Linked DNA regions of Lonchura striata. The protein of the gene in region 1 interacts with the protein of each later gene in a pairwise test. Links are inferred from orthologs where the notes say so. Each region holds a gene or a part of one and is shown in the gene's direction. Other genes may lie near its edges.

Region 1 (7,932 bases):
TCCAGCTGCTGTGTCCCTCTTCCTCGCTGCTCTTGGCCCCTTTCCCTCACTGCATTGCAATGACTCATCCTTGCTGAGCTCACCCGCTGGAGCTGTGGGAGGGCTGGCAGGGCAGGCGCCCACCAGCCCCCAAAGAGGGTCCCTCAGCTGGTAGCCCCTCGCCGTGAGCCACAGACCTCTGGTCAAGGTGTGCAGGCACTGGGGTGCAGCCTGGTTTCACCTTTCTGAACCTTGGCTGGCCATAGGGCAAAAGGGGGAGAAGGCTGGACAGGGGACAGGCAGGCCTTGCTGCGGGTCTGGCTATGCTCATTTAATGTCTGCTGGGGAGATCTGGACAGGGAAAACAAAGTGTGGATGGGGAAGTGCAAAGATGATGCTGGGCAGAAACGCAGTGCCTGGTTCCCCAGCTGGGTGCAGTGCCAGCCAGGCTCTGTGCAGTGAATCAGACGCTGGTGACGAGGAGCAGACGCCAGAGCATTGTCTGTGCAAGAAGGGCAGCCTGCACCACCGAGTGCCCACACCCATGGGGCAGTGGCCTGGCTAACTGCCTCTCTCTCCCCCTGCCCAGGTTCCCCTCTCAGAGACAGCCCCCACCAGGCACCTCAGCAGCGAGATGAACCCCACCGTGGGCATCGCTGTCATCCTGACAGGTACATCCCTCCCTGCTCCCTGCTCGGCCCAGAGCAGCCTGGAGGCTGCACGGGCACCCCCAAAGCTCGCTGATCCCTGTCCAACCCCTTCCTGCCTCTCCCAGTCCTCCAGGCCGCCCACTGCCAGATGATCAAGGACCTGAGTGCCTGCCTGCTGGGCCAGAACCTGCGCGTGGACTGTCGCTATGAGAACAAAACCGACAACCCCCTGACCTACGAGTTCAGCATCACCAAGGACAACAGGAAGCACGTCATCCACAGCACCATCAGCGTCTCCGAGAACATCTACCGGAGCCGAGCCAACGTCACCATGCACAAGAACCTGGTGTGCCTCCACCTGCAGAGCTTCACCACCAGCGATGAGGGCATCTACATGTGCGAGCTGAAGGCCACCAACGACTACACCGGCAACCAGATAAAGAACATCACTGTTATCAAAGGTGAGACAGGCAGTGGCACCTGGCCTCAGCCCTTCCCACCTGCTCCTTGGCTTGGCAGGGCCAGCAGAGAGCACCACAACTCCCTGTGGATCCTCAGGGAGGATCTATAAATGTGTCCCAATCATTCAGGTGCGCTTCGTCTCACAGATGGGTTCACTCTACTCCATCTCACACCACTTTTCCTGCCTCTCTTGAGTCCCACTTCAGGCACATTGCCTTGATATCCTCCCATGGAGAGGACAGTGGGGATCCTCCACACCTACAGCCCACAGGATCTGTCCTCCAGAAAGGGGCTAAGAGACCCTTGTCTCACCTGGTGCCCACCCACTTGTCACCTCAGTCAGGCACAGGCAGGGTTATGCTTCTCAGGGTCCCAAAAAGTCTTTGCTACTACATTCCCTCCATTGGGAGGGAAACAGGCCAGGATGGGATGTGCTGCACTTCTGTGACAGAGCAAAAGCACAAAGCTGTGTTCCTGTACCCTTAGAACTCCCAGCCTGAGCCCCATTCCCGAGGGATTTCATGGCCTCTCTTCTCTCCCTCCCCATTCCTTCTCCTCACAGACAAACTGGAGAAATGCGCCGGCTTCAGCCTCTTGATCCAGAACACCTCGTGGCTCCTGCTGCTGCTCCTTTCCCTGCCTCTCCTGCAAGCCGTGGACTTCGTGTCCCTGTGAAAGGCGAAACGCACACACACACACACACACACACACACACACACACACTCACAGCGCTCGCACACACACGCACGCACACACCGAGCACCCCAGCCACCCCGCCTTCCTCGCAGCCCCTGGAAAGAGAAGCTGAAGCGTCTGGAAGCCGTGAAACCTCTCTGTGTTATCTCTATTTAGCCGTATATTTACGCTAACCACCGTCCCGTGCCGAGGCCCACCATCCCACGCACACGCGCCCCGCTCCGAAGCATGGTGGCTCTGCTAGGCAGCGTTGCTTCTCCCATCGCTCCTCCCCGCTCCGTAGGCTGGCTGGTTTGCTTGTGCTGGGAGCACTGGAGGCCTCAGCCTCGCTTGTCCCATCCCTTTAACTCTTGGGGTTTGCCTGTTCTCAACTGGGGAAAGACAGCTGGATTGGCAGGTAAGAGAGGGGGGTGATGCGAGAGCGTGCGGAGGGTGCCCGTGGTGGGTGCTGCGCCCGTGGCCCCTGGAGGTGACAGGGCTCTTGGTGTCCCCACCCGCCCTGCCTGCCTCACCCTGCTCCTCTCACCCTGAGCTGCCACGGCTGGGAGAGGGCACAGAATGACTCAGTGAATGGGGAGCCATGGGACGCTGCTGGGCCTGGCAGGCTGGGAGGAGAGAGGGGAGCAGGTCTAGGAGACACCATGAACCCCCCCTGCCTCCTTAGGGCTCCTCTGGGACCCTGGGAACGGGCTCAGTGCAAATGTGCTTCGGCAACAAGTTTTTCCTAATCTATTTCTTACAGCTGAGCTGGAAGTGAGGCCTCCTCCAGACACCATCTGGTACCTTTGGGCTGCCCAAGCCAGAGACACCACTCGCTCTCCCCAGGGACCAGCCCTTAGCTGTGACGAGAGAATTGCTGCCAGCACCAGTGGAGGCAAGCAGAGCCTCTCTGAGCTAGCCACAGCCCCACTGCCCTCCCCAAGCCCTCAGAGCTGTGCCCGGGCTGGCTGGTGAGGAGGGGGTTCCCCTCTGGGAGCGTGACCCCAAGGTCTCTGCAGGGACTCCTCTGTAGGGGCACTTTGTCTTCCCGAAGGGAACATCTGGAGCTATCCCCAGCCCTTCCTCATGGAGAGGCAGAGCAGTCTTCCTCAAATCCCACTGTGCTCCTGGGAGGAGCCCGTGTGCCCCCTCCCCTCTCCCTCCTCCCTTTCAGCATTTCCCCGTCTCCCTTTAAGAGCAGCAAAGGACCGAAGGGCAGCCCACAACCTCAGCAAGGCCAGGATGGTGCCAGGGGTTGGCGAGAGCAGGGACAGGGATGGCCAGCACAGCTCAGATCTGCCAGCCCAGGGCTGCCCACGGGACCCCGAGGAGCCTCACCCAGGGGAGGGCACAGGGAAAGGAAGAGGCAGGAGCATCCAGCTGTGCCACCCGTGCAGCCCGGGCTGTGCCACCACGGCTGAGAGCAATACACAGCAGCTGCTCCCCACTCCTTGCTCCTCTCCAGAGCTGCTTCCTACCCCCGTGCCCATCCCCTGCCCATCCCTGCCTGCTTGCTTGCTGTCTAGTGCTGCTGAGGCCGTGCCCAGCTGAGGCCTGGCTGTGCCCAGCTCCCTGGGCGTACTGGTGAGCGCCGGGGCAGGCGCAAAGCCCAACGGCAGAGCGCGGACGCGGCTCGAGTCTCATTTTTTTGTGAACATTTGTAGTTATTTCCACAGCTTGTCGTCAAAGAAATTCTGTTAAGGGAAAAGGGGAAAAAAAAAAAGGAAAAAAAAGAACCCTATGAAAAGCAACAAGAAAAAAAAGACCACCTTACCATCCAAGGAGTGTTTCTCTGTCTGCACAATAAAACCCTACCTAGGTTCTGTGTTGGAGCCACGGGCGCCGTGTGTGTGGCACTGGGGATGAGGGCTGTGTGGGGCTGGGCACCAGGACCCTGCTGAGGGGCACAGCCCCCCAGGCAACCCCCATGTGCCTCCAGCACCCCAATGTCTGTGGGAGAGGAGCAGGCAGAGGGGCAAGATGTGGCTTCCCTGGGCAGGGCAACCCCCTCCTGCCCATCTGGAGTGAGGCCCCCTGCTCCCAGACCCTTTGTCCCCATCCCCGTCCCTAAACCCCCAGCTCCATCCCAGACACCATGGTGGCAGGGAGGCACAGCAGGGGACCAGGTCTGGCCCTGGCCCCTCCATCCTCTGGGGAGGGAATTGCCAGGGATGGAAGTGGCCATGGGAGCGGGGCTGGGTGTGCACATGTCCCAAAGCTCCTGTGCCCATCACACGTGGGTCCTGCTGGGGCTCCTGTGCCCATCACACCAGGGTCCTGCTGGGGCTCCTGTGCCCATCACACCAGGGTCCTGCTGGAGCTCCTGTGCCCACACACTGCCTGGGGGCTGCCAAGGCCTCTCATGTCCTTTGCAGCAGCCATACACTGCCCTGCCCAGCGTCAAGATGCCACCCTGGCACCAGGAGCCACCAGCAGGACTCAGCCACCACCCCCTGACACCATTGGTGACCCTGCGCCACCTCCCAGAGTGACGCCCCGACGCGCCCCTCCCTGTTTAAGGGCTGGAGCCAGAGGGAGGGAGGGAGGAAGATGCCACCCTAATTACATCCCTCCCCATTATCCTCGGCAGGTGCTCGCTGAGTCACGGCCACGCAGGTGCCGTAGCCTGGGCGGGTCAGGCGTCCCCATGGATCCACGAGGGGCGGCCACGCCACGCCAGCTGCCCCACACCCACCTTTGCTGAAGGTTTAGTGGGCTCTTCTCCCTACAGCTCATCCCAGGGGGGGGCAAAACCCAGTCCAGCTCCTCCCCTCACCCTGATGCTCTACTCCAAACCTTGCTGGCAGCCACCAACGCCCCTTTTTGTGCCTCCCTGCCCCACACGCACCAAGCGGTGTTCCCACCACCGCTCCCTCCCTTAACCCTCCCTCTATCCTTCGCCTCCTGGACCTCGACCTGCCTCCCCAAATCTCTCCGTCCCTCACGCTTACCCTTAGTCCTGCTCCACCCCGCACAGCCCCCGCAGCCTCCCCTGGCAGCACCCCCTTGCCGAGGGCCACCAGCCCACCCGGGCTCGCGTCCCCTTTAAGCCTCCCCAAGCTGGAATGCGAGAGGAGCATTTCAGCGCCCTGTGAGGTCAGATAAAGACACTATATTTATCTGCCTGGTAACCCGAGCCCTGAATTTCTGCGGTGGTGTTTTTACGTGGCCCCACAGCCCTCGGGCTCGGCCCCCTCCGGCCACTGCGCTCCCTCCCAGCGTGGAGGGGCTGAGCCGGGGGCGTCCTGTCCCCTGCGAAGGGTTCGGCTGCTGCCCATCTCCGGTGCCGGGGCAAGCTCCCCAAGGAGGCAGGACCAGCGCCGAGGGCATCACCGAATGCCTGGCTGGTCACCCCTCGCCGTGTCCTGAGCAGCCATCGGCCACCCGTGCCACATGCAGGTGAGTGCAGGTGGGGACACGGCCCCGGGGAGGGGGACACGGAGACAGACAAAACTGTCCCGCTCTTCCTGCAGCCGGATAACAGCCCGGGGGAGAGGTTTCTCTCCAGGGAGAAGGTTCTGAGTTCACACACAAAATCCTGCCTTTGAGCCACCCTCCCCGGCACCCTCCTCGTTCCCCAGCGTGGGCAGAGCCTCCTGCCCGAGGGTCCCTTCTTTTTTTTGGCACGCACAGACTCAAAGCAGTAATTCATGCCCTGGGTCTTACGTCAGGGTCCCCCGTGGGTTTGGGGTTTTGCTGCCTGGGGGGTGGCCCGGGAGCAGCAGCAGCAGGCTCTGCAGCAGGGTGGGGATGGGTCAGCAGCAGGGAGCGGGGCCAGGGTGGTGACTCCCGGCTGTGTGGGGTGAGCCTGGGGGTTCCTCAGGCCCAGGGCTGGCAGGGGAAGGACCCTGGCCAGGCTGGGTGAGTCACCTTGGGCAGGGCTTGTCACTTTGTGGGGTGGGAGTGGTGGGGAACGCAGGAGCCAGGCTGTGCCAGAGGCACTGCAGTCCCCATCTGTCGAAAGGGTCACTCCTGTCCCCTCCAGGGAGCAAACATTTTGTGGCTCATTCCCTCCAGGGCTGCTCGGGGTCAGCCTTCCTAGAGGGAAATGGATACCTGGAGGGATTCTGTGCCTTGTTTCCCTTGGGGAATGGGCAGGAGGCTGTCCCACCTCGCTCAGCTGGACACAGAGCCCCTCAGCCCCAAAGCACTTGTACTCTGGAGCGTGCAAAGTGCCTCACACAGGGTCCCCTCTCTGCCTCCACCACGGCAGAGTCCCGGGAGCCCCCACGTAACCTCAGGCCGGGACATTGTGTCTCAGGGGACGGCTCTGAGCCTGCGTAAGCGAGAAGCAGCTGTGCTGTGACACCTTGGATGGAGCCAGCGCTGTGTAAGCTGAGCCGAGCCCGCTCTGGGGCTCCGTGGCCACCGAGGGGGACAGCTGCCACCGGGCACGGGCAGGACAGAGGGGACACCTGCCACCGGGCACGGGCAGGACGGCAGCTGGGGACAGAGCAGGCCTCTGCTTTTCTGCCTCAGAGTGAGGGTTTTGCCTCCTCACTTTGAGCTGAGATTCCCAGGGAGGGCAGGGCAGGACTCCCCAGCGCCCCGAGCAGCCCCGTGTGTCCCGCTCCCGTGTGGTGGCACCGCTCCCGCCGGGCCCGTGAGCGCAGACCGGACATTCCTGTGCCTCAGCTTCCCCTGACAGCCCGGGAGGATGATGAGGGTGCAGGCGGCCTGACTCAGCCGTGCTGGCCCCAGGGCTTTGCCAGGCAGCAGGAAAGCTCAGCACAATGACGGGTAGGGAGGGGCCAGGCAGCCCAGGAAGCGCTGGGAGGAACCGGGGTTTTCTCACACCCCCTCAGCTCCTCTGGCTCCTGGCACGCTGTGCTCTCCCACCGCCCTGGGGTCCGCTCGGATGTGACATGGGGACCTGGAAGCACAGGCAAGCCTGGCAGATGTGACATTCCTCCATGGTAAGGCCTCTCTTCCCAAGGAATGGGATAGCTCCCGTGGCCGGGGCCGGTGCCCGCTCCTGACCCTGCATCCCTCCATCGGCTGCTCCGCATCCCCAGGGCAGGTGCTGCCCTGTGGAGACCTGTCCTGCTGCCAGGAGCACCTGCTGCCCTCCTGCTCCCAAACTTGTGCTCTCCTGGCACTGCCGGTGCCAGGAGAGAGCGTGGGCACCTGGCAGGGGATGATGGCATGGGGCTCTCCTGGCACTGTCCCAAGCCAAGATCATCTCTGCTGGCGACGAGGATGGGGAGTAGGGGCAGTCCCTGTGCCAGGCTGCTCCGTGCCCCAGCAGGGCAGGCAGCCAGGCATGTGCTCCCTGGGAGCCCAGGGGCTCCGTCACTCCCATCCTGGCACTCAATGCCAGTCTCCTGGCTGGGGTCCCACTCCCTGTCCGTGTCAAATGCCGACTGGCAGAGCCCCGCTCCTGGTGAGGGCGGCCGCAGCCAGGCTGGGAAGAGCCAGGTGTTCCGTGGCTCCCGTGCCCGGGAGCAGATTATTCACCCTTCAGCCTCCGTCCCCAAACAGGTCTGTGCGCTCCACCTCGCTGCTGCTTGTAAATATTTCCCTGTCCGCGGTGGGACGGCTGCTCCCTGGGCAGCAGCAGCAGCGGCCGGGACAGAGCCAGGCTGCCCGTGGGAGCCCACGGGGGCTGCTGCCGTCCCTCACCGCCCCTCCCTGAAGCATTCCCGGGGCGTTTCCACGCGGAGCCCGCGGGGCTCGGAGCAGGAGGCTGTGTCCCCGCAGGGCCAGGCAGGCGGTGACCCGCGGTGGCTCCTCGTGCCTCGTCCCCAAGCCCCGGTGGCACCCTCGGTGCTGCAAGGGACGGGCCAGGCACAGGCTCCGGCACCTCCCGGCTTGGAGCCGGGCCAGAGCCCGCCCCGGCTGGGCTGGGAAAAGCCTTTGAATCAGGGTCATCTCCCGGGTGACTGGAGACTCTCGGAGCCACATGAGCCACTGTCCTGCCAGGGAAGGGACACCAGTCACCCCGGGAGCTGAGCACCAGCAGCGCCGGGGCAGAGGAGCTCGCCTGGGTGCTGCCTGCCCCAGTGCCACCCACAGCCCCAGCACAGGTAGGGATCCAGCCATCAGTGCCGGCATGGGCACTGAGGGCAAACTCTCCTGACAGCCCGTGTTTGGGGACTGCTGGCTGCCACGCTGCCATCCCTGCTCTGGGTTGGCTCTGTGTGTGCTCTGGGACCTCTGTCCCTGT
Region 2 (7,372 bases), on another chromosome or scaffold:
CCCCGTCCCAGCACGGAGCGGGGCTGGCTCCCCCGAGCCGGGTGCCGGCCCTGCCCACCGCCGGGTGATGGATGGGGAAGGTCTCATCGCTGCAGCCCTGCTGCCTTCTTCTCCTTGATTTCCCTGGGGGGTTCACCCCCAACATCAATAACCCCCCCCTCGCCAGCTGCTCCCCTGTGTGGGACCGAGGGATCGCGATGTGGGGCTGCCCGTGGTCACCTCAGCCCCAAAATATGCCGGTGGGGTGGGCAGGGGGTGCAGCAGGTGGAGGGAGAGGGGATTAGGGCTGGGGAGGTGGGCGCTGCCGGAAGGGGGTTAGCGGGATGCCCAGATTAGCATCTCCGCCGGGCCCGCAGCCTAAAGCCGCTGTGCGCGCAGGAAACAGAGAGTCTCGTAAATAGACTTTCCGTAATCCTGTTTGGTGGAGTCGCAATCCGCCCGGCCCCGGCTCTCCCGACCTGTGGCACCGGGGTGTCCCCCTGCAACACCTGGGGAGCCCCAGTGCAGGGCACAGCGGGGCTGCTGCAGGGCTCGGAGTGTCCCCCACGCTCTGTCCCCATCTCGGGATGATTTGGGGACAGGTCCCCCCTGAGCCCTGCAGAGCGGGAGCAGCAAGCTGCTGTGGCCACACTCGCAGGTGGCACAGGCTGTCCTGGGGACCCAGCCCAAGCCCCCGAGCTGCCCTCCCTGATGGACCCTGATGGGGTCACCCCTTCCCGGCACTGCCACGAGCCTGGGGGTCCCTGGGGCTAATTACCCAAATGGCCGCAGGCTGCCGCGGGGCGGCCGCTATTCCCTAATACAATTTACCCTCAAGTGCAATTTAATTTTCCTCCAGGCCGGTGGCCAGCCCCCCGCACACCCAGCCACCTTCCCACCCCTTCAGTGCTCGCTCCTTCCAGCCCTGCCCGACTTCCCTTTCCCTGCTCGGCACAGGGAAGAGCCTTTCTCCACCGGCATCCCGTCTCCACACGCGCCGCAGCCATAAAATCACCGGGGGTCCGCTGAGCGCCGATTAATTTTCAATTACAATTAGCAACGCCCCTGCCTGCGAGGGGAGAGGCTTTCCCTGGCTGCTGGTGAGTACCCGGCTCTCTCTCGATGTGCTTGTCCTCGCTCCAGGCCGGTCCTGCAGTAGGGATGGAAACGGGAGGGGGTAATTATTGGGATAATTCAGATTATTTATCTGGGGGGGCTCGGGGTACTACGGCCGATGCTGCCCAGGGGGGAGGTGGCCTCATGCCAAAAGGGCATGAAGCTGTGGCAGCTTTGGACTTGCAAGGATGTCCCCACTTTGGTCTGGAGGAGCAGGTTTTGTCACATGAGGGGACTCGGAGCTGGGCTGGCACCGGGCAAACTCTCTGCATGAGTGGCACAAAGCCTCAGCTCCCTGGCACCTCCAAATCTGTTTGGGGTTTGCTGACTGGGACAGAACTGCACTCGCAGCCCCCAGGCATGAGTCAGGACCTTATAGTTTCCAGTTTTCCTTATATTTCCTTATATTGCTTTACATCTCCCCAGTTCTGCCTAGAAACCCCCTTGTTGCACCAGGGGACAATGCACTGATGTCCCCCTCGGTGCCACAGTGTCCAAACCAACCCTAATTCTAATGTGCCCAGGGCTGGGGCACACACGGGGAGGCTGGCTCTGTGTTTTGTCACAGGCTCTGGGATTTACCTGCATTTTATTAACGATGAATCCCAGCAGGGAAGGTGTGGGAGCAGCATCCCTGCTCGTCTGTGGGTTTTGCATCATCTCCTCACGCTGCTCGTGTCTTCCTCTGGCTGCAGGGCCGGAGGGCTCCAGGCAATGCCAAGGAAGGAGCAGGGCATCTGTGTGGGGCCAGAGCCCCCCAAAAGTGCCCCAGAAATGCAACCTGATGAAAATCGACATTCACCCTTCTGCAGGATGGTCACCATGAGCCATAGCTCTGATTTAGCTCTGGGTGGAGGAGAAAGCCTGGAGGGGGAACATTTCACACCCACCACATATAACCCACTCTCTCTGGGCACCACCAGCACCCAGCAGCGTTTTGAGTGGCACAGAGAGGATTTACTGGGCAAGAACCTCATGCCCATCTGAACCGCCCTCTCCTTCCTGTGACATGGGAAAAACAAACTCAAAAGAGACCAGGAAGCCCAAAGTGATCTAAAAAATCCCTAAAGAGACCAAGAGATCTCCACCAACATAAGGAACAGATGGACAGCAGGAAGGATGGAGGGGAACAAAGCCGTGCTACCAAGGAGAGGAAGGGATGAAGGCGCTGCTGGGAAGATGTGTGAGCGAGCACAGGAAGATGCTGGTGGGGTGGTTTTTTTGGTGGTGGCAGCCCCCCGAATCCCTGCCTCTCCCCCGGCTTCCCCAAGGTGAAGGCTCGGTGCTGGGTGGCTCCTTTTGCCCGCTCACCACTTCCATGAGTGATCCAGTGCAGGGCAGAGGGGGCTGGATCAATCTGGCAAAGCAGAAAAATGAATGAAAATTGAATTCTCCGAGGAGAAGGGGGTGGAGGGAGCTGTTATCCCGGCTGAGAGATAAATCAGAGCGTGCCAGAGAGCTGGGAGAGCGCGGTGACTCCCAGCAGCGCTGGAATAATTAGGGAAATAGGTTGGAAATGCAAAGCAGCAGGACAGGGCAGCGATGGGGCAGGGTCCGTCTGTCCCTCTGTCCGCTCGTCCGGCTAAACTTCTCCCGTAAATCTGCCTTAGGGACCTGCCTTTCTGTGCGCTGGGGCCCCGCTGTGGCTGGCTGGCGACTGGGGGGGCACGGGGGCCCCCTCCCCAAGGGGCTGCGGAGCGCAGGTGGCCGGGGGCGACGGGGGTCTGGCCGTGCTTAATGCACTTAAGAGCTGCAGCGTGATTTAGGGGATGGGACGGGATGGGATGGGAGGGGTTGGGATTCACCTCCCTGTGATGGGAAGCAGATTATGGCGTTCGGTGAGCTGCAGGGTGGAGCTCACTCCGGTATGAGCGCACACCGGTCTCTGCACAGAGCTGCCATGTGAGGAGGACGGGGGTTTGCTGGTAAAAATGGAGCTTTGAGGGGGTCAAACCCCAGCATCTCATAGAAAAACTTAATTTTTTTCCTAAGGAACCATCAGTCTTAATACATTTTTTAGGGTTTATTGCTTTTATTTTTAAACATTTTTTTTCCAGATGCTGGCTTGTCCCATCTGCACATTTTCTGACGGAGCAGGGTTTCAGGATTTTTCAGGTGGGAAAATCCTCTTCCTAGCAGTGTAGAAACGAAGGCTTGGCATGGGAGCACCTGAGCTGAGGGTGGCCATGCTCTTGGCTGGGTGAGCATCTTCCCTCACCTGCCAGAAGCTGCCGTGTGCCACCTCGGGAGCCTCCCCCTGCTCTCTAAGCAGAGCGGGATGGCCCAGCACGTCGGGGCTGTTTGGTACCGCTGTCCCCGAGCTGGTGACACGGTGACCATCGGGAAGGTTGATGCTGGGGGCACCCCCCCTAACTTCAGCTCCATTTCGGTGAGTTTCCTTGCTCGGCCCGTGGCCGCCAGGTACAGCCACATCAGTGGCGGGGGCTGCGTTGTCTCAGGGCTTTCCCTCAGCAGAGCCCCACGGGGATGCTCATGGAGGCCGTAGCCACCTTTGCGCTGTGACTTCAGCATTGCCACCTTGTGCCACCGCGGCCCGGGGCTGTCGGGCTGGGCACGCCGCAGCGCTGCCGACTCGGTGTGTCCCCGGGGAGGCACCATGGGATGGGCCCAGGGATGTGTTACACGCCCTGTGGAAGCAGAGCGTGTCACGGCGGGGTGACAGCAGCTGGGCGACAGCTCGTGTTGGTGCGGGATGTGCCGCTGTCCTGCGGAGCCGGGGAAGCGGCCCTTGGCTAAGGCTCCATTCCCGGCGGCAGGAGGGACAGGGCAGGGGCTGTGCCTGAGGCCAGCGCCTTCCACGGAGCGGGAGAAGGGCCCTGAGTCCCGGGAGCGGAGCGGCCTTGGGGCCGTCCCTCCCTGTCCCCCTGTCCCCCTGTCCCCCTGTCCCCCTGTCCCTCCCTGTCCCCCTGTCCCCCTGTCCCCCTGTCCCCAGCGCCACCGCCGGCCCGGCCCCGCCCCTTCCGCGCAGGCCCCGCCCCCTCGGCCCAGGCCCCGCCCCCGGCGGCGCGGAGCGGGCGCTGATTGGCTGCGGGGGGCCCGGCCCGCCCCCGCCCCCCTGCGGGCGGTGACGTCAGGCGCGCTCCCCGCAGGGGAATGAATGGGAGGCGGGCGGCACCGGCGGGCACCGGCACCGGGACACGGCACCGGGACTCGGCACCGGGACACGGCACCGGGACACGGCACCTCCCGCCGCCGGCCTCCGCCGGCCCGGCCCGCGGCTCTCCCGCCCCTCTTCTCTCCCCTCCGCCGCCCCCCGGGCCAATAAAATGATGCAAAGCTCTGCGCTCGCTGCCGAAGGGGCTGTCAAGGGGCTTCCCGAGATCCTCGGTGTGCCGGTGCAACGTAAGGACGCTTTTCTCTTCTCCCTCCTTCGCTCCCTGCCGCAAAGGCGGCCCCGGGCCGGCGGGGCAGCGCCCTGCGGGTGGGCAGGTGCCTCCGCTCCCGTTCGCTCCCGGTTCTGCACTTTGTGTTTATTTTCCCCGGCGTGTAGCGCCGGTCACGGACGCGAAAATGCGGCGGGTGCGGAAGGGAGAGAGGTGCCCCGGGGCGGGCGGGTAGCGGAGCGATGCGGGCCTGGCCCCGACGGGGAGGACGGCGCGGCTCCGGCTGTGCGTGTGTGAGCGTGAATTCGAGTGTGAGAGTGTGTGTGTGTGAGTGTGTGTGTGTGTGTGTGTGTGTGTGTGTGTGTGTGTGTGTGTGTGCGGCCCCGGCCCCCGCCCGCCCCGCGCATCGCCGACCCGCAGCGCACGACTCCGCGCTTATATCGTTTATCGCGACAGGCGGCGAGCGGCGGCGGTGGGAAGGGGCTCAGGGCCGTGCGTGAGCGGTACCGGGATGGAGAGCCCGGCCGGGCGCCGCGCTGCCCCCGGAGCGATGCCGCGTCTGTCCAAAAATCACCTGCGTGTCTGTGTGCGCGTCTGTGGCCCTGCAGCTACAGGTAGCGTGTCCGTGGGGGTGCGCACAGGCACGGCGTGGGGGTGCGGGCACGGGTGGATGGAGCCCGCTGGGGATGGTGCACCCCGAGGGGGGATGCTGGCCCCGAGCTGTGAGTGAGCCACAGGGGCTGCCAGCCCCTCACAGGGCCGAGCCCCGCGCGGGGGCATCCCGTGGGCACTACGGATGCCCCCTTTGGATGGTGGGGCACGGCCGTGCCCCGGTGCGCCCTGCGGGGGGGCCTCCGCGGCGGCCACCTGCGCGGGTGTTGCTGCTGTTGTTATTCTCGTTGATATTTTTGTTATTATTATCATTTCTTCCGTTTGCAAACCGTTCCCGAGACCGGGGCGTCGCCGCGCTCCCGGAATGGGGGGGACCCCACCGGGGCCAAGAGGGCGATGCTCGACCCCCCCACAGCGGCGCCGAGAAAGTTGAGAGGAGGGGCGCGACGGGCCCGAGGTGCGGGACAGCCCGGCCGGGGTCCGGCCGCACGGGGGGACACGGGGGGCACGGGGTGTCCGCTCCGGGACAGGTTTCCCCCGCCTCCGGCCGCCGCCCCGCGGAGCCCCCGCGCCGTTCCGTGCCCCGCACGGGGCCCCGGCCCCCCGGGCGGCTGGGATTCGTTTTCCCTGGGTTTTTCGGTGGTGCCTCTTCCCGCGGCTCTTTGGGGGATCTGTCGCCGTTATCCCTCGGTTCGATCCCTTTGCCGAGCTGCGGGAGGGTTGAACAGGAGGACCCCGTTTAACCAATTTCACCGCAACAAGGGGGGAAATAAAATCGCGGTCAGGAGCACAGAGCCGGTGCAGGGACAGGGACCGGGACACGTGGGGTTTGTCCCAGTACCGTATCCCGAGTCACGCCGCCGATTCCGGGTCGCTGGGTCACTCCTATGGCCTCGGAATCCCTCGATTTAGGAAAAAAAATGAGATGCCCAAACCACCGTGGAGCAGCATTGCCCCAGCATAGTTCCCTGATCTGGCCCTCCTCGGGCTACCAAATTCCCTTGCCCCTGACATTGTCATGCGTGTACTGACTGATGGATATCAAGAATTAGCAGGAAATAATCAACGAGATTAAATTATTATTATTATTATTATTATTATTATTATTATTATTATTATTGCTATTTGTTTTTCTATTAATGCTATTATTATTAATAATTATTATTATTATCACTATTATACTTATTTATGCACAAATAAAATGGCAGAAAGAAAATAGATGAGGCTGGGCTGCTGAAAATCATCCTTCTGTGGTTTCCCCGCTGCCCCAGCCTGAGCCCTGAGGCCGCTGCCAGCTCCCAATCACCTGCTTTCATGTCGTGATAGATCTGGGGCCTGATCCTGCCTCAGTGACACAAAACTCAGCCCCCTTCGAGCCAAAGGAAACTGTCCCTGGGCAGGGAACCCCTTCCCAAGAAGGATCCAGGGTCTCCCCCCAGCCCCCAGCAGCACCTCGATATTTCATCGTGTGTGAGAGGAAAATCCGTGGCATTTTAATTTTTAATCGCTATTAAATCGCATTTTTTCCTCTCCCTTTAGCCACCAGCCTCATTATTTTAGCAGCGGCTGTGTCCTACAGCATCTTTTTCTGCAGGATTTTGGGGAGGTGAGAAGTCTCCCTCCACCATCCTCCCTCCCCCCCACCCGAAAGGCCTTGCTTAGCCTTGCAGACGGGATTGTTAAAAATAAAATTCCGAATATTATTTATGAATATTGTTTTGCAAATCTCACCGGAGTCAAAACTTGTGCCAAAGCCTGCGGGAACAGTGCCCGGCTGCCGGCAGGCGCTGGCCAAGGGGCTGGAGCTGGGGCAGTGATTAATCGCCGCCGAGAAAGTCGTTTGCCCGCAGCAGAGAAATGAATCGGAAGGTTTTTGCATGCGAAGGAATGAGGTTTCCTCCCCGCAGCAAGACTTCGGGAGGAATCCCCGGAGCGGTGCTTTGCTCGGGCTCGGTGCAGGCTCCGGTCCGGCGGCCCGGCCCGCCTCGGTGCTCCGCTTTCCCCCCGCACTCCCGGGCCCGATCCCGCCTCGGTGCTCCGCTTTCCCCCCGCACTCCCGGGCCCGATCCCGCCTCGGTGCTCCGCTTTCCCCCCGCACTCCCGGGCCCCGATCCCGCAGCACCGGGGGCTCCGTCCCCTCCCCGAGCAGGAGCCGAGCGCAGCCCCGGGGCCGGGGGTGTTCGTGCCCCGCGGGGCCCGGCGGGGAGCGCATCCCCCCGGCGCTGCCCCCGCATCTCCCCCCGCTCCTTTCCGAGGGGTTTTTGCGCTCTGAGCGATTCCTGAGGCCACCGGCCAGTTTGTTTCGTTTCGATCGATATTTC
Region 3 (7,342 bases), on another chromosome or scaffold:
CTTTGGGGACACCTTGGGGACATCCTTGGGACACCGTGGGGAGAGCTTGGGGACATCTCTGGGGACACACTGGGAACAACCTGGGGACAATTCCTGCCACCCCAGGTGGCTCCAGCCGTGTCCCTGTCCCTGTCCCTGTCCCATCCCTGTCCCTGTCCCTGTCCCTGTCCCTGTCCCTGTCCCCATCTCTGTCCCTTGTCCCCATCCCTGTCCCTTGTCCCCTCTCTGTCCTCCTCACTGTCCCTGTCCCTTTCTTGTCCCATTTTCTGTCCCTGTCCCCTCCTGTCCCCATCCCTGTCCCTGTCCCTGTCCCCATCTCTGTCCCTTGTCCCCTCTCCTCTGTCCTCATCCCTGTCCCTTCTCCCTTTCTTGTCCTATTTTCTGTCCCTGTCCCCTCTCCCCTGTCCCCGTCCCCATCCCTGTCCCCATCCCTCTCCCCTGTCCCTGTCCCCTTCCCTGTCCCCATTTCCTCTCTTTGTCCCTTGTCCCCTCCCCATCCTTGTCCCCTTCCCTGTCCCCATTCCCATCCCTGTCCCATTCTCTGTCCCTTCCTTGTCCCATTTTCTGTCCCCATCCCTGTCCCCTCTCCCCTGTCCCCATCCCTGTCCCCATTTCCTCTTTGTCCCTTGTCCCCTCTCTCATCCCTGTCCCCTGTCCCTTTCTTGTCCCATTTTCTGTTCCTTGTCCTCTCTCCCCTGTCCCCATTCCCATCCCTGTCCCTGTCCCCATCCCTGTCCCCATTTCCTCTCTTTGTCCCTTGTCCCCGTCCCCATCCCTGTCCCCTTCCCTGTCCCCATTCCCATCCCTGTCCCATTTTCTGTCCCTGTCCCCTCTCCCCTGTCCCCGTCCTCATCCCTGTCCCTGTCCCCATTCCCATCCCTGTCCCATTCTCTGTCCCTTCCTTGTCCCATTTTCTGTCCCCATCCCTGTCCCATCCTGTCCCCGTCCTCATCCCTGTCCTTGTCCCCATTCCCATCCCTGTCCCATTCTCTGTCCCTTCCTTGTCCCATTTTCTGTCCCCATCCCTGTCCCCTCTCCCCTGTCCCCTTCCCTGTCCCCATTTCCTCTTTGTCCCTTGTCCCCTCTCCCATCCCTGTCCCCTGTCCCCTCCCGAGGCCGGGCCCCGCCCTCCCGGGAGCTTTAATTACCCGGCCCAATTAATCCCGGCCTAATTAATCCCGGCTAATTGGCTGGGCTGGGGAGGATTTGCTGCAGCACCTTCCTTGTATTAGCTTGAATTGTGCTGATTTATGGTAGCTTCATTTCTCTTTCATTCCATTTATTTATTATCTATTTATTTCTATTTCATTACATTTATTTATTCTAGGATGCATTTATTTCCGTTTCATTCTATTTATTTATTATATTACGTATTCATTTCTCTTTCATCACGTTTATTTATTATTTATTTGTCAGAAATTACAAATATTGGCTTTGGGCTTGGGGTGGTAACTCCTGCTTTGGGAGTTATTGTTCAATACAACCCGATTATATTTCTTTATTATTAAATAGGATAATAAAATATTAATAATAATATTATATATATTATTATATACTATGATAATATTAATACAATATATAGTTAATATATAATGTAATGTAATATATAATTAATATAAACATATAGTAAAATATAATGTGATTATAATAGAATGAAATATAGTATAATATAGTATAATGTGAAAATTATAAAAATCAAATTTCTGCTTTCTCAGAATTGTAAAAATGGGGGGAAATGAGCTGCCTGTGCCTTTCTGTCCTGGGATTTTCCTGAGCAGCAACTCAGGGTAATTCCCACCCAAGAAAAGGGAAAATTCACTTGGAAAAAAGAAAAAGTGGCTCAGAAAAGCTGAAATTTCAGCTTCTCCCCCCTGAGCCGTGGCCTCACCTCGGCAATAAATAAATTCAGCGGTTGAAATTTGATTTATGACATTTTTGGACAGAGGGAGATGTGGAAAAGGTCGAATTAGGACAAAAAAAAAAAAAAAAAAAAGCAGGGGAAAATCCTTTTGAGAAGCTAAAGAAAGGGAAAAGGAGAAAAAATGGGGGGAAATGGAGGGGAAGGCTCCGGCCAGTGAGGAATAATTTCAATTTTCCTGGAAAAGCAGCAGCCCCAGGGGCACGGGGAGGCTTTAATGAGCTGCTTTAAACAGAAAGTGGAAGGTGAATTTGGGGTATTTTTAGCGCTGCAGGATTAATTTCTGTAAAGCCGCACAGAAAAGTGGCTCAGGGGCCGTTCTGGAGGGGAACTTCGAGCATGTGTGGGGAAAAAAAAGGAATTTTGGGTTTAAAAGCAACAGCTGGGGACAGATTTTGGTGTTTATTGGAGATTTTTCTGCTCCTGGAAGAGATGGGCGATCCTTGCAGGAGTTTGCATTTCAGCGGTTTAAATTGAAATCCTGAATTGAAATCCTGAATGGAAATATTGAATTGAAATCCTAAATTTAAATCCTACATTCAAATCCTAAATTGAAATCCTGAATTGAAATATTGAATTGAAATCCTGAATTGAAATCCTGAATTGAAATATTGAATTGAAATCCTGAATTGAAATCCTGAATTGAAATACTGAATTGATATTACCACACCTGGGTTATCACTGGTATTATCACACCGGGGTTATCACACCCAGGTTAGTATTACCACACCCGGGTTATCACACCCAGGTTATCACACCTGGGTTATCACAGGTGTTATCACACCTGGGTTATCACTGGTGTTATCACACCCAGGTTATCACACCCGGGTTTTCACTGGTATTATCACACCTGGGTTATCACACCGGGGTTATCACAGGTTTTATCACACCCGGGTTATCACTGGGGTTATCACACCCGGGGTTATCACACCCAGGTTATCACACCCGGGGTTATCACACCCAGGTTATCACTGGTATTATCACACCTGGGTTATCACACCCAGGTTATCACAGGTGTTATCACACCCGGGGTTATCACGCCTAGGTTAGTATTACCACACCCGGGTTATCACTGGGGTTATCACACCTGGGTTATCACAGGTGTTATCACACCCGGGTTATCACTGGTATTATCATACCTGGGTTATCACACCCGGGTTATCACTGGTGTTACCACACCCGGGGTTATCACACCTGGGTTATCACTGGTGTTACCACACCCGGGTTATCACACCCGGGTTATCACACCTGGGTTATCACAGGTGTTACCACACCCGGGTTATCACACCTGGGTTATCACTGGTGTTACCACACCCGGGTTATCACACCCGGGTTATCACACCCAGGTTATCACACCTGGGTTATCACAGGTGTTACCACACCCGGGTTATCACACCCGGGTTATCACTGGTGTTATCACACCCAGGTTATCACACCCGGGTTTTCACTGGTATTATCACACCCGGGTTATCACACCCGGGTTATCACTGGTGTTACCACACCCGGGTTATCACACCCAGGTTAGTATTATCACACCCGGGGTTCTCTCACTCATGTTCGTGCTGCCAGGCTGGAATTCTGGATTCCAGGGGTGAGTGAGGGGGTTTGGGGGGCAGAGGGTTTTGGGGCTCAGGGAACCCCGAGGATTCTGTCCCCGCTGTCCCGGGGGTGGCACCGGGCTCCTGTCCCCGCTGTCCCGGGGGTGGCACCGGGCTCCTGTCCCCGCTGTCCCGGGGGTGGCACCGGGCTCCTGTCCCCGTTGTCCCCGCCGCCCCGGGGGTGGCACCGGGCTCCTGTCCCGCCGTCCCGGGGGTGGCACCGGGCTCCTGTCCCCGCCGTCCCCGCTGTCCCGGGGGTGGCACCGGGCTCCTGTCCCCGCTGTCCCCACCGTCCCGGGGGTGGCACCGGGCTCCTGTCCCGCCGTCCCGGGGGTGGCACCGGGCTCCTGTCCCCGCTGTCCCGGGGGTGGCACCGGGCTCCTGTCCCCGCTGTCCTCGCCGTCCCGGGGGTGGCACCGGGCTCCTGTCCCCGCTGTCCCCGCCGTCCCGGGGGTGGCACCGGGCTCCTGTCCCGGCAGGTGGTGCTGCCGGCGCCGCGAATAAAGTCGGGAGAAGAAAAGCGGCCAAACGTGAGCGGGATGGGGCGGCGGGAGCGGGCAGGGAGCGGGTAGGGAGCGGCGGGACCGGGCAGGACCGGCGGGACCGGGCAACGCGGAGCCCGGGCCGCGGTGCCCGCGGAGGGAACGCCCGGTGCGGGGGGACAAAAGGCGTGGACAGGCACCGGCTCCGTCCGGCCGCTCCCTGCCGGGCCGGACGGAACCGGGCAGCGGGCGGAGAAGCGCCGGGGCACAGCCCGGAGCGCCCGGGGCCGCTCCCGGTGCCGGTGCCCATCCCGGGACCGCTCCCGGTGCTGGTGCCACTCCCAGAACCACTCCCCGGTGCTGGTGCCGATCCCGGTACCGCTCCCGGTGCCGGAGCCACTCCCGGGGCCACTCCCGGTGCCGGTGCCGACCCCGGTACCGCTCCCGGTACCGCTCCCGGGGCTATTCCCGGTGCCGGAGCCGCTCCCGGGACCACTCCCCGGTGCTGGTGCCGATCCCGGTGCCGGAGCCGCTCCCGGATCCATTCCCGGTACCGCTCCCGGTGCCACTCCCAGCACCACTCCCCGGTGCCGATCCCGGGACCGCTCCCGGTGCCGGAGCCGCTCCCGGAGCCGCGGAGCAGCAGCTGCAGCAACGCTTCAAAGTGAAATTCCGGAGGAAATTTAAAGAGCATCCGGATCCGGAGAAGGACAGAAAGAAAGAGGAAGGGGAGAAGGAGGAGGAGGAGGCGGCGCGGGAGGATCGCGGCCGCCGGGGATGGGGTGAGACCGCCGGGCTCCGTTCCCGTTCCTCGCCGGGCTCCGTTCCCGTTCCTCGCCGGGCTCCGTTCCCGTTCCTCTCCGCTCTCCGTTCCCGTTCCTCTCCGCTCTCCGTTCCCGTTCCTCTCCGCTCTCCGTTCCCGTTCCTCGCCGGGCTCCGTTCCCGTTCCTCTCCGCTCTCCGTTCCCGTTCCTCGCCGGGCTCCGTTCCCGTTCCTCGCCGGGCTCCGTTCCCGTTCCTCTCCGCTCTCCGTTCCCGTTCCTCGCCGGGCTCCGTTCCCGTTCCTCGCCGGGCTCCGTTCCCGTTCCTCGCCGGGCTCCGTTCCCGTTCCTCGCCGGGCTCCGTTCCCGTTCCTCTCCGCTCTCCGTTCCCGTTCCTCGCCGGGCTCCGTTCCCGTTCCTCGCCGGGCTCCGTTCCCGTTCCTCGCCGGGCTCCGTTCCCGTTCCTCTCCGTGCCCACGGCCCGGAGCCGCTTCTCAGGCACGAATTCAAGGCTTGATCGGCGCTTTTTTGGGGGTTTTATTTTTTTGCCGCGTTGCGAGCTGGAAAGTTTCGCCTCGCCTTTAATTTTTGGGGCGGGGAAGCGGAGAACGGCGAGCGGCCGCGACTCGTGCACGGGCGGCGCCGGGAACTTCCCGGAGTTCGGAAATTGGGAATTCCTCGGGACTGCGGGCGGGAAGATGGAGCCGAGGCGGTTCTGCCGGGACGGGAACCGGGGAGAGGGAATTTGGGAGAGGGAATTTGGGAGAAGGAATTTGGGAGAGGGAATTTGGGAGAAGGAATTTGGGAGAGGGAATTTGGGAGAAGGAATTTGGGAGAGGGAATTTGGGAGAGGGAATTTGGGAGAAGGAATTTGGGAGAGGGAATTTGGGAGAGGGAATTTGGGAGAAGGAATTTGGGAGAGGGAATTTGGGAGAGGGAATTTGGGAGAGAGAATTTGAGAGAGGGAATTTGGGAGAGGGATTTTGGGAGAGGGAATTTGAGAGAGGGAATTTGGGAGAGGGAATTTGGGAGCGGGAATTTGGGAGAGGGAATTTGGGAGAAGCAATTTGGGAGAGGGAATTTGGGAAAAGGAATTTGGGAGAGGGAATTTGAGAGAGGGAATTTGGGAGCGGAAATTTGGGAGAGGGAATTTGGGAGAGGGAATTTGGGAGAAGCAATTTGGGAGAGGGAATTTGGGAGAGGGAATTTGGGAGAAGGAATTTGGGAGAGGGAATTTGGGAGAGGGAATTTGGGAGAGAGAATTTGAGAGAGGGAATTTGGGAGAGGGATTTTGGGAGAGGGAATTTGGGAGAGGGATTTTGGGAGAGGGAATTTGGGAGAAGGATTTTGGCAATGGGATTTTGGGAGAAGGAATTTGGGAGAGGGATTTTGGGAGAGGGAATTTGGGAGAAGGATTTTGGCAATGGGATTTTGGGAGAAGGAATTTGGGAGAGGGATTTTGGGAGAGGGAATTTGGGAGAGGGATTTTGGGAGAGGGAATTTGGGAGAAGGATTTTGGCAATGGGATTTTGGGAGAAGGAATTTGGGAGCGGGATTTTGGCAGTGGGATTTTGGGAGAGGGAATTCGGGAGTGGGATTTTGACAGTGGGATTTTAGGAGAATAATTTTGGGAGCGGGATTTTGGCAATGGGATTTTGGGAGCGGGATTGTTTTTTTTTATTATTTTCTGTTTTCCTTATTTAAAAAATTCTATTTTCCTTTTAAAGATTTTTTCCTGTTTTCCTTGATAAAATTTTCCCTTTTCCTTTTTTTTTTTTTTTTTAATAAATTTCCTATTTTCCTCTTTTTTTTTTTTTTTTTAATTTTCCCTTTTCCTTTTAAAAAAAAAAAATGTTATTTTTGGACTAGCTAGAGGGAGCGATGAGGCAGGAACCAGCAGTGACAGAAATGTGAGGCTGGCAGAAGCCTTTGAAGCTGGCAGGGGATGTGCTGATCCAGGTGAAATCCCTGTGTCCCTGTTTTCTCCTGCCATCTGCAAAGTCGCTGGAAAACCCCCGGAGCCGCCTGGAGGAAAATTTGGGATGCAGGAATTGTTGCTGTACCTGGAATGATCTGGAATTCTCGCTGGTGGGGCAGCAGAAACCATTGCCCAGCCAGACGGTTCCACCCCAAAATTCCTGAATTCCCATTTCACTCCTGAGATTAAAGGGTGGCCTTGGAGGTCCCATGGGGATATTGAGCAGCAGAATTTCCTTAAATAACTCTGGAATTCCAGCAGAATTTCCTTAAATAACTCTGGAATTCCAGAAGAATTTCCATGCCTTAGAATTCCAGCAGCATTTCCTTAAATAACTCTGGAATTCCAGCAGAATTTCCTTAACTAACTCTGGAATTCCAGCAGACTTTCCTTAACTTTGTAATTCCAGCAAAATTTCCTTAAATAACTCTGGAATTCCAGCAGGATTGTCTTAAATAACTCTGGAATTCCAGCAGAATTTCCTTAACTAACTCTGGAATTCCAGCAGACTTTCCTTAACTTTGTAATTCCAGCAAAATTTCCTTAAATAACTCTGGAATTCCAGCAGACTTTACTTAACTAACTCTGGAATTCCAGCAAAATTTC
Region 4 (7,221 bases), on another chromosome or scaffold:
AATGAGTGATCCCCAAAAGCTGCTGAGGGCTCCCCTGCCCTCCTGTCCCAGAGCCAAAAATGCTCCATGCGAGGGTGGCTGCTGTCCCTGTCCCGTGTCCCCGTGTGGGCAGGGCTGCTCGCAGAGGGGAGGGCAGGCTGCCCCTCCTCTCTCTCCTCCATCCTTCCCCCACCACGCCTTTCCCATCCCTCTGGGGGTGCCTGCTGCCTGCCCCATCCCTCCCAGCTCACAGCCAGTCCTCCCAAACCCCCCAGCCTTTCCCCTGGCCGTGTTCAAGCTGCAAAGCTGAGGTTTCACAGGAGTTTCTGCTCGACTCATTCTCCTCCCACCCGTCCCAGCCCCAGCTGGGAATGCGGTGAAGGCAGGAAAGAGTAAATCCATGTTTGAGCCCAGCCCAGGGGGAAATTCCCAGCTAAAGAAGAAGTTCTGTGAAGCAAAATTAATTTTCCAGGGCTGCACTGTGCTGGTGGAAGGCCCAAGAGTTCTGGGCCCTAGGTTCTATCCACTTCCATGCTGTCAAAATAAACTCAAACAGCTGGAAAAGCTGGACAACTTCAGGGGAATCCGAGCTTTTCAAAAGGAGCACAAGCTCACCCATCTTCCCCCACTCTTGCTTTGCTTGAATTCCAGTGGGGAAATCAGCGTTTTTTTCCTGCTGGGGGTGTCCATTCTGCTCCTCAGGCACCCGGCAGGATGGAGCCCACCAGGCGGACCCCCCTGCAGCCCAGGCAGCCCAAAATGCGCAGGGAGAGCTCCGGCTCAGCTTCTCCTGCGGGGGTTCCGCCGTGCCCAGGAGATGGTGCTCTCGGACGGGCTCTGGCACCGGGGAGCCGAGCAGGGAGCGCTGGAGGGTGCCCAGGTGAGGGGGACAGTCCCCAGCAGCCGCCCCTGCCACCGGCATCGAGGGGACCTGCTCTTCCTCCATGGGGCGAATGCTTATCCCACACAAGGAACAGCTGGCTGTGACCCCAAACAGCTGGATGTGCCCCCAAACAGCTGCCTGTGACCCAAACCCTGATGTAACCCCAAACAGCCCGGGGGTCCTGCCCAGCCCCAGACCCTGCAGCCCCTCCCCGGGGTCGGGATGGGGGGCAGCAGATCGAGGGGGAGCACGGCCCGATTGTCCCCTTGCTTGTCACCGTGCCCCGGTGCCCACCCAGCCCCGGTGGGACTCACAGCAGCCCGAGGAGAGCCTGGCACTGCCCCTGTGACCCTGGCAAGCCAGCGCTGCCACCCCAGGGACGCGGTGTCCCGGTGTCCCCAGGCACTGCCCGCCTCCCCCTGGCTGCCCTCCCGCCAGGCAGCTCCCTCCAGCCTCCTGCCAGCAGGGAAGGTGTAGAAACCCCACAGTTCCAGCAGAAAACCCACTGGGATTGGGGTTTGGAGCCTTTTGCCCAAGCGGGATGCTCCCCGTGGCTGCCCAGGGGTGTCAAGGTTTGGGTTTTTCCTTCCAGCCCGGCTCCTGCAGGGCTGGGATTGCAGAGATGCTCCTGCCTCTAACGGGAACACGCGCAGGGCAGCTTCTCAGCCCGCAGCAGCACAGAAAGAAAAGCTCAATAATACCGAATACCCAACATTTAATGGTATTTCCAATCATCTGAAAACACAGTGCTGTGAGTGCAGAGTTTGCGGGCAGAGCTGCTGCAGCCCCTCCAGGGTCACTCCGCTGCCAGCCCAGGTGGGTTCTGGGCAGGAGGATGCTCAGCACAGGGTGGCAGAGGGCAGGAGGGCTCTGTCCCACGGGCTCCGCTCTGCATTTGGCTGCCTGCAGTCAGAATAAGGGAAGGATATTTATATTTCTATTAATAGAAATAAGGAAAATATATTTGTATATATTTATATTTATATATTGAGTCTGCAGTCAAAATAAGGGAAGAATATATTTCTATTTCTATTTCTATTTCTATTTCTATTTCTATTTCTATTTCTATTTCTATTTCTATTTCTAGTTCTAGTTCTAGTTCTAGTTTTAGTTCTAGTTCTAGTTCTAGTTATATAGTTGTAGTTATAGTTATAGTTTAGTTATAGTTATAGTTACAGTTATTTATGATTGTATTTATATTTATTTATAGTTTTATGTTTATAGTTCTATTTATATTTATCCTGCAGTCAAAATAAGGGACATCAGGAAGGATTTCTGCCCTGGGAGGGTGGTCAGGGATTGGAGCAGGAGGCTCAGGGAAGCGGTGGCACCACCACCCCTGCAGGTGCCCGAGGAACACCTGGAGGTGGCACTCAGTGCTCTGGGCTGGTGAGGAGGTGCGGCTTGGGCACAGTTTGGATTCCACGGCCTTGGACAACCCTCCGAGACGGAGATTAACGAGCAAATCGCCCCTCTTCCCCGAACAGCAGCCCCAGCGCCGATTTCCCCCTGCCCGACCTTCCCAGCCGCCTCTCCTCGCTCATCCCCAGCTGCAGCCGCATCTTGAGGGGCCGCACGAGTGGATCCGCAATTCCCAGCCCATAAGCCCTGCCCGGAGCCCCTCACCCGCCCTGTCTGCCCCCTGGGTCTCCGCAGCAGTGCCCGCAAACCCTCCCTGGCCCCCACGCACTGCGGGCCGCCCGCAGCTCCTCCCGCACCCTTTTTGGCCGCAGCCCGCGTCTCCCGGGGGTCGCTCGGGGCGGGTTTGGGGGGGCGGCCGGCGGAGGCTGCGGCAGGAGCCGCTTTGTGCGGCCGCTAATGCTGAGCGACGGCTCCTTTGTGCTGCCCGCAGCGCCCGGCCCGCGGCGGCCGCGTGGGAACAGCCCCGCACACAAAGGGACAGCGGGGCCACCTCCGAGCGAGCATCCCCCAGAGCGCTGTTAACCGGGCAGGCAGCCCGCACCCCGGGGAACGCCTCCCGCAGCCCGGGGAACGGAGCCCGCACCCCTGGGAACGGAGCCCGCACCCCTGGGAACAGCTCCCGCACCCCTGGGAATGCATCCCGCACCCCGGGGAACGCATCCCGCACCCCTGGGAACGCCTCCCGCACCCCTGGGAATGCATCCCGCACCCCGGGGAACGCCTCCCGCACCCCTGGGAACGCATCCCGCACCCCTGGGAACGCATCCCGCACCCCTGGGAATGCATCCCGCACCCCTGGGAATGCATCCCGCACTGCTGGGAGCGCCTCCCGCACCCCTGGGAACGCATCCCGCACCCCTGGGAACGCATCCCGCACCCCGGGGAACGCATCCCGCACCCCTGGGAACGCATCCCGCACCCCGGGGAACGCATCCCGCACCCCTGGGAACGCAGCCCACACCGCTGGGAGCGCATCCCGCACCTCCCGCACCCCGGGGAGCGCAGCCCCGCCTGGGCCCGGCCGCTGCCCGCCGCCGGCTGCCGGAGGAGGCTCCGAGGCAGAGCGGCGCTCCCGGGGGAAACAGGCGCGAGGAGCGCGGGCTGGGGGATGGAGTCCGGGACCCCGAGGGATGGATGTCCGTGACCCCGAGGGGTGGAGTCCGGGATCCCGAGGGATGGATGTCCGGGACCCCGAGGGGTGGAGTCCGGGATCCCGAGGGATGGAGTCCGGGACCCCGAGGGATGGAGTCCGGGACCCCGAGGGATGGATGTCCGTGACCCCGAGGGATGGAGTCCGGGATCCCCAGGGATGGAGTCCGGGACCCCGAGGGGTGGATGTCCGGGATCCCGAGGGATGGATGTCCGGGACCCCGAGGGATGGATGTCCGGGACCCCGAGGGATGGATGTCCGGGATCCCCAGGGATGGAGTCCGGGATCCCGAGGGGTGGATGTCCGGGACCCCGAGGGGTGGATGTCCGGGATCCCGAGGGATGGATGTCCGGGACCCCGAGGGATGGATGTCCGGGACCCCGAGGGATGGATGTCCGGGACCCCGAGGCAGGGCCCGTGTCCATGCCCGTGCCTGGTGTGCCCCCGCCGGGGTCACCGGGGACAGAGCGGCAGAGAACGGGCAGGGGGCAGTTCCCGAAGGCTGCAAAGGAGGAGGGCGGGACCACCTCACCCCGGGGGCGGCCGGCGGGGTGGGGGCGAGCACGGGGGGATCCCCTCGCCGTGCGAAACGGGGACCGGCACCGGCACCGGGCACCGGAACCGAGACCGAGACCGAGACCGAGACCGGGCAGGGGCAGCGGGCAGCGGGCACCGGCACCGGGCACCGAGACCGAGCATCGGCCACCGGCGCTGGCCACCGGGCACCGGCACCGGGCACCATCCAGGCCCCGCCCGGTGTGACGCCGGTGCCCCCGCCCCCGCCGGCTCTTGCATCACGCGCCGGCCTCGCCCCCCAGTCCCCGGATGAGGCGGCCCCGGCGGGCGCGCGCGGCGGCGGCTGTGGCAGGGGATGCGCTGCGGTGAGCGGCGGGCCCGGGGCCGGGCGGGGGCACCGGGCGGGCCCGGCCAGCGGGGCCCGGCGCGGCGGGCGGGGGGCGCGGGCCGGGCGGGCGGCGGGCCGGGGGCGCCGCCATTGGCTGCCAATTGACAACGGGGCACGGCCCGCCCCCGGCGCGCCATTGGCCGCGGCTGCGCCGCCGCCGCCTCCCATTGGCTGCGCGCGGTGTCAGTCACGGCGCGGCCCCGCTCGGCCGCCGCCCTGGCCCCTCCGCGCCGCCGGGAGCGGGGCCGGCCCGGCCGCACCGGGGCTCGGGGCCGCACCGGGGCTGCACCGGGGCCGCACCGGGGCCGCACCGGGGCTCGGGGCCGCACCGGGGCTGCAGCGTGGCTCGGGGCCGCACCGGGGCTGGGAGCTGCACCGTGGCTCGGGGCTGTCCCGGGGCTCGGGGCCGCTCCGGGGCTCGGGGGTGTCCCGGGCCCTGCCCGCCGCTCTGCCGGCCTCGCCCCCCGCCCGGGCGTTTTCCCGGCACTGGAGCTGGCCGCGTGGTCCGCCTCTGTTGCTGGATGCTCCGCCCGGGGCACAGCGTCTTTTCCGGGAGGAAATTCCTGCCGGAGCTGGTGCTGGGGTCGGGAGCGGGCAGGGAGGTGGCGGTGCAGTCGTCACCCCTGGATGTGACGGGCGGGCCGGGGGAGCTCGGTGCCCTGCTCGGGGACCGGGGCTGTTCGCTCCCAGCTGGGACCGCTGGCCTCCGGGTCCTGCCCTGCCCTGGCCCTCTGCGCTCCCGGGGGGTTTGTCAGGAATTCCGTCGGTAATTCCACCGGCAATTCAGTCGGTAATTCCGCGAGGGTTCCTCTCGGCGGTGCCTGGCCTTGCTGGGAGCCCTGTGCGCTGTGTCCGGGCGTGCCCAGCCCCAGCAGCCCGTGCCCGGTGAGCGTGACCCGAATTGCAGCCGACGTGCGGGAAGGATGCGCTGGGAGAGAGCAGCGACACTGCCCAGCCTGCCCGGTGACCCACCGGCACATCCCTGTCCCTCCCGGGAGGAGCAGGGTTCTCCTCTCCCACCGGCACATCCCTGTCCCTCCCGGGAGGAGCAGGGTTCTCCTCTCCCACCGGCACATCCCTGTCCCTCCCGGGAGGAGCAGGGTTCTCCTCTCCCACCGGCACATCCCTGCAGGGTTCTCTCCTACCCACAGCCCGCTCTGTGCTGGGAGTGACTCAGGGTTTCTCTCTTCTCCCTGCCTTGACTTGCTCACAAGTGCAGGGTCTGGATGCCTCTGGCATTTGTTGCCTGAGAGGTGGTTAAACACAAGAAATTGCTACAGAAGAGTTCCTTGGATACTTCAGAAAATTTTTTTTTCTTCCTTTACATTTTTTTCCAAACCCCACCCCCCACAAAGAAATAATTCCTTGTTGAGGAAGGAATTGTTCCTGCTGAGAGCTGGTGGCCTTTCCAAGGTCAGTGTTTTGTTAGAGATATCAGCAACTGTAAGAGGAAGAAGCTGTCCCAAGGCAGAAAAGAGACTGGGAAGCTTTTAGATATGAAAAGGTGGTGGAGACCCCATCCATCCATCCCTGGAGGTGTTCAAGGAGCTCCTGGGATGTGGCACTCATTGCCCTGGTCTGGTTGACAAGGTGGTGATTAGTCAGAGGTTGACTTGATGATCTCAGAGGTCTTTTCCAACATGAATAATTCTGTGCTTCTATATTTATTTATTTAAATGCCAGTTTGACGTGTTTGCAGCGTGACTGCACAGGCAGGCTGGCTGATGGTGCCAGTTAACTGTGGCAGAGCTGGGTAAGGAGTGTGGATCTGGCATTAATAGTGTTAGCTCTGCCCTAGAAGAGATCCCCTGTCCTGTTTCCTGGCTGGGCTGTGCATTTCTGTATTGTTGTATATGTGGAGGCACAGCCCTGGTGAGAAGGTTTAATAATTTAATTAAACTTGTCACTGGGAGTCCCAGAAGTGAAGGAAGTGTTCAGGGGCAGTGTTTGAGTCAGTGTTTGAGTTGCCTTCCTTCCTCCTCAGGGGAAAACCCTCCCTTTTTTCCCCCTGACTCTTTAGAGTTTGCAGATTCGTAAGATAATTCCTCGTTTGGTGGAGGACGGAGAAGAGAAAGGAAAATAGGAAAGTGGAGAGAAAGCACGGGGCTGATGATGTCTGTGACCTTGGTGTCACAAGGAATCTTGTCTGGAGACGCTGCTGGCAGCAGACTGCCAGGAAGCACAGCAGCAAAGCACAGTGCATGCCCTCAGAGCATTACAGTTGGTTTTTTGAGGTGCCAGGAAAGTCAGACTGCAGAAAGGAAATGGTATTTTTGCAGCCCTTGATGTCTGTGGCACCACAAACAGAATCAAGATAAAGTGGGGAGTGTGTTCACAAACTGCCTGCTCTGCTGTGCTGCCCTCACCCCCAGACAAAGCCAGACCCACCAGAGCAGATTTTTCATGATGTGCTTGTGCCCCTCGAGGGTTCTTCTGTCCCCAGAACTCAGTGGAAGGTTGTGCTGGTTCCTTCTCCTAATCAACACAGAGATTAGGGGGTTATTTTTAATATTCTGTTAACATTCTGTTTAATATTCTGTTCAGAACCTCTCTCTGCTGGGGGCTGGTCTGTGATCTATTTTGGGGGGTATTTTTCAAATCCATTTTACCCCCCCAGCACTGGTAGAACTTCAGAGCTGTAAAAGCAGCAGAATTCAGTCCTTGTGGCAGAAATCCCTGCTGAGTGCTCTCCCCTTGGAATTCCTGGGTCACTGTGTGGTGTCAGAAGTGTGTCACCCTCTGGCCACTGCCTTGCCAGGAGGTGCTGTCATCGGGATGCTTTGGATTGCTGGGGTGACCTGGGGGACCTGGAGCTGTCCCTGGTGCAGGTGTCCCTGCCAGGCTGGGCACTGCTGCTGCCTGGGATGCCCTGGCACTGCTCAG

Evidence for each region.
Region 2: the proteins of USP2 (region 1) and LHX4 interact in binary tests that used the Homo sapiens proteins (3 or more experiments, as listed by UniProt). The two-hybrid records come from large-scale screens. The link is inferred for Lonchura striata from reciprocal best matches to the Homo sapiens genes USP2 and LHX4.
Region 3: the proteins of USP2 (region 1) and HOMER3 interact in binary tests that used the Homo sapiens proteins (3 or more experiments, as listed by UniProt). The two-hybrid records come from large-scale screens. The link is inferred for Lonchura striata from reciprocal best matches to the Homo sapiens genes USP2 and HOMER3.
Region 4: the proteins of USP2 (region 1) and NDEL1 interact in binary tests that used the Homo sapiens proteins (3 or more experiments, as listed by UniProt). The two-hybrid records come from large-scale screens. The link is inferred for Lonchura striata from reciprocal best matches to the Homo sapiens genes USP2 and NDEL1.

The regions. Positions count from the first base shown.
Region 1 is NC_134625.1:9,111,139-9,119,070, forward strand, and holds the start of USP2 (ubiquitin carboxyl-terminal hydrolase 2), read left to right. Parts: upstream 1-4,929; 5' UTR 4,930-5,165; intron 5,166-7,932. Other genes in the region: THY1 (thy-1 membrane glycoprotein), read left to right, coding at 614-650, 755-1,090, 1,654-1,766. UniProt on the Homo sapiens protein: Hydrolase that deubiquitinates polyubiquitinated target proteins such as MDM2, MDM4 and CCND1. Isoform 1 and isoform 4 possess both ubiquitin-specific peptidase and isopeptidase activities.
Region 2 is NC_134611.1:2,296,776-2,304,147, reverse strand, and holds the start of LHX4 (LIM/homeobox protein Lhx4), read left to right. Parts: upstream 1-4,367; 5' UTR 4,368-4,382; coding exon 4,383-4,458; intron 4,459-7,372. UniProt on the Homo sapiens protein: May play a critical role in the development of respiratory control mechanisms and in the normal growth and maturation of the lung. Binds preferentially to methylated DNA.
Region 3 is NC_134630.1:7,419,490-7,426,831, reverse strand, and holds the start of HOMER3 (homer protein homolog 3), read left to right. Parts: upstream 1-4,326; 5' UTR 4,327-4,780; intron 4,781-7,342. UniProt on the Homo sapiens protein: Postsynaptic density scaffolding protein. Binds and cross-links cytoplasmic regions of GRM1, GRM5, ITPR1, DNM3, RYR1, RYR2, SHANK1 and SHANK3.
Region 4 is NC_134621.1:1,235,522-1,242,742, reverse strand, and holds the start of NDEL1 (nuclear distribution protein nudE-like 1), read left to right. Parts: upstream 1-4,211; 5' UTR 4,212-4,315; intron 4,316-7,221. UniProt on the Homo sapiens protein: Required for organization of the cellular microtubule array and microtubule anchoring at the centrosome. May regulate microtubule organization at least in part by targeting the microtubule severing protein KATNA1 to the centrosome.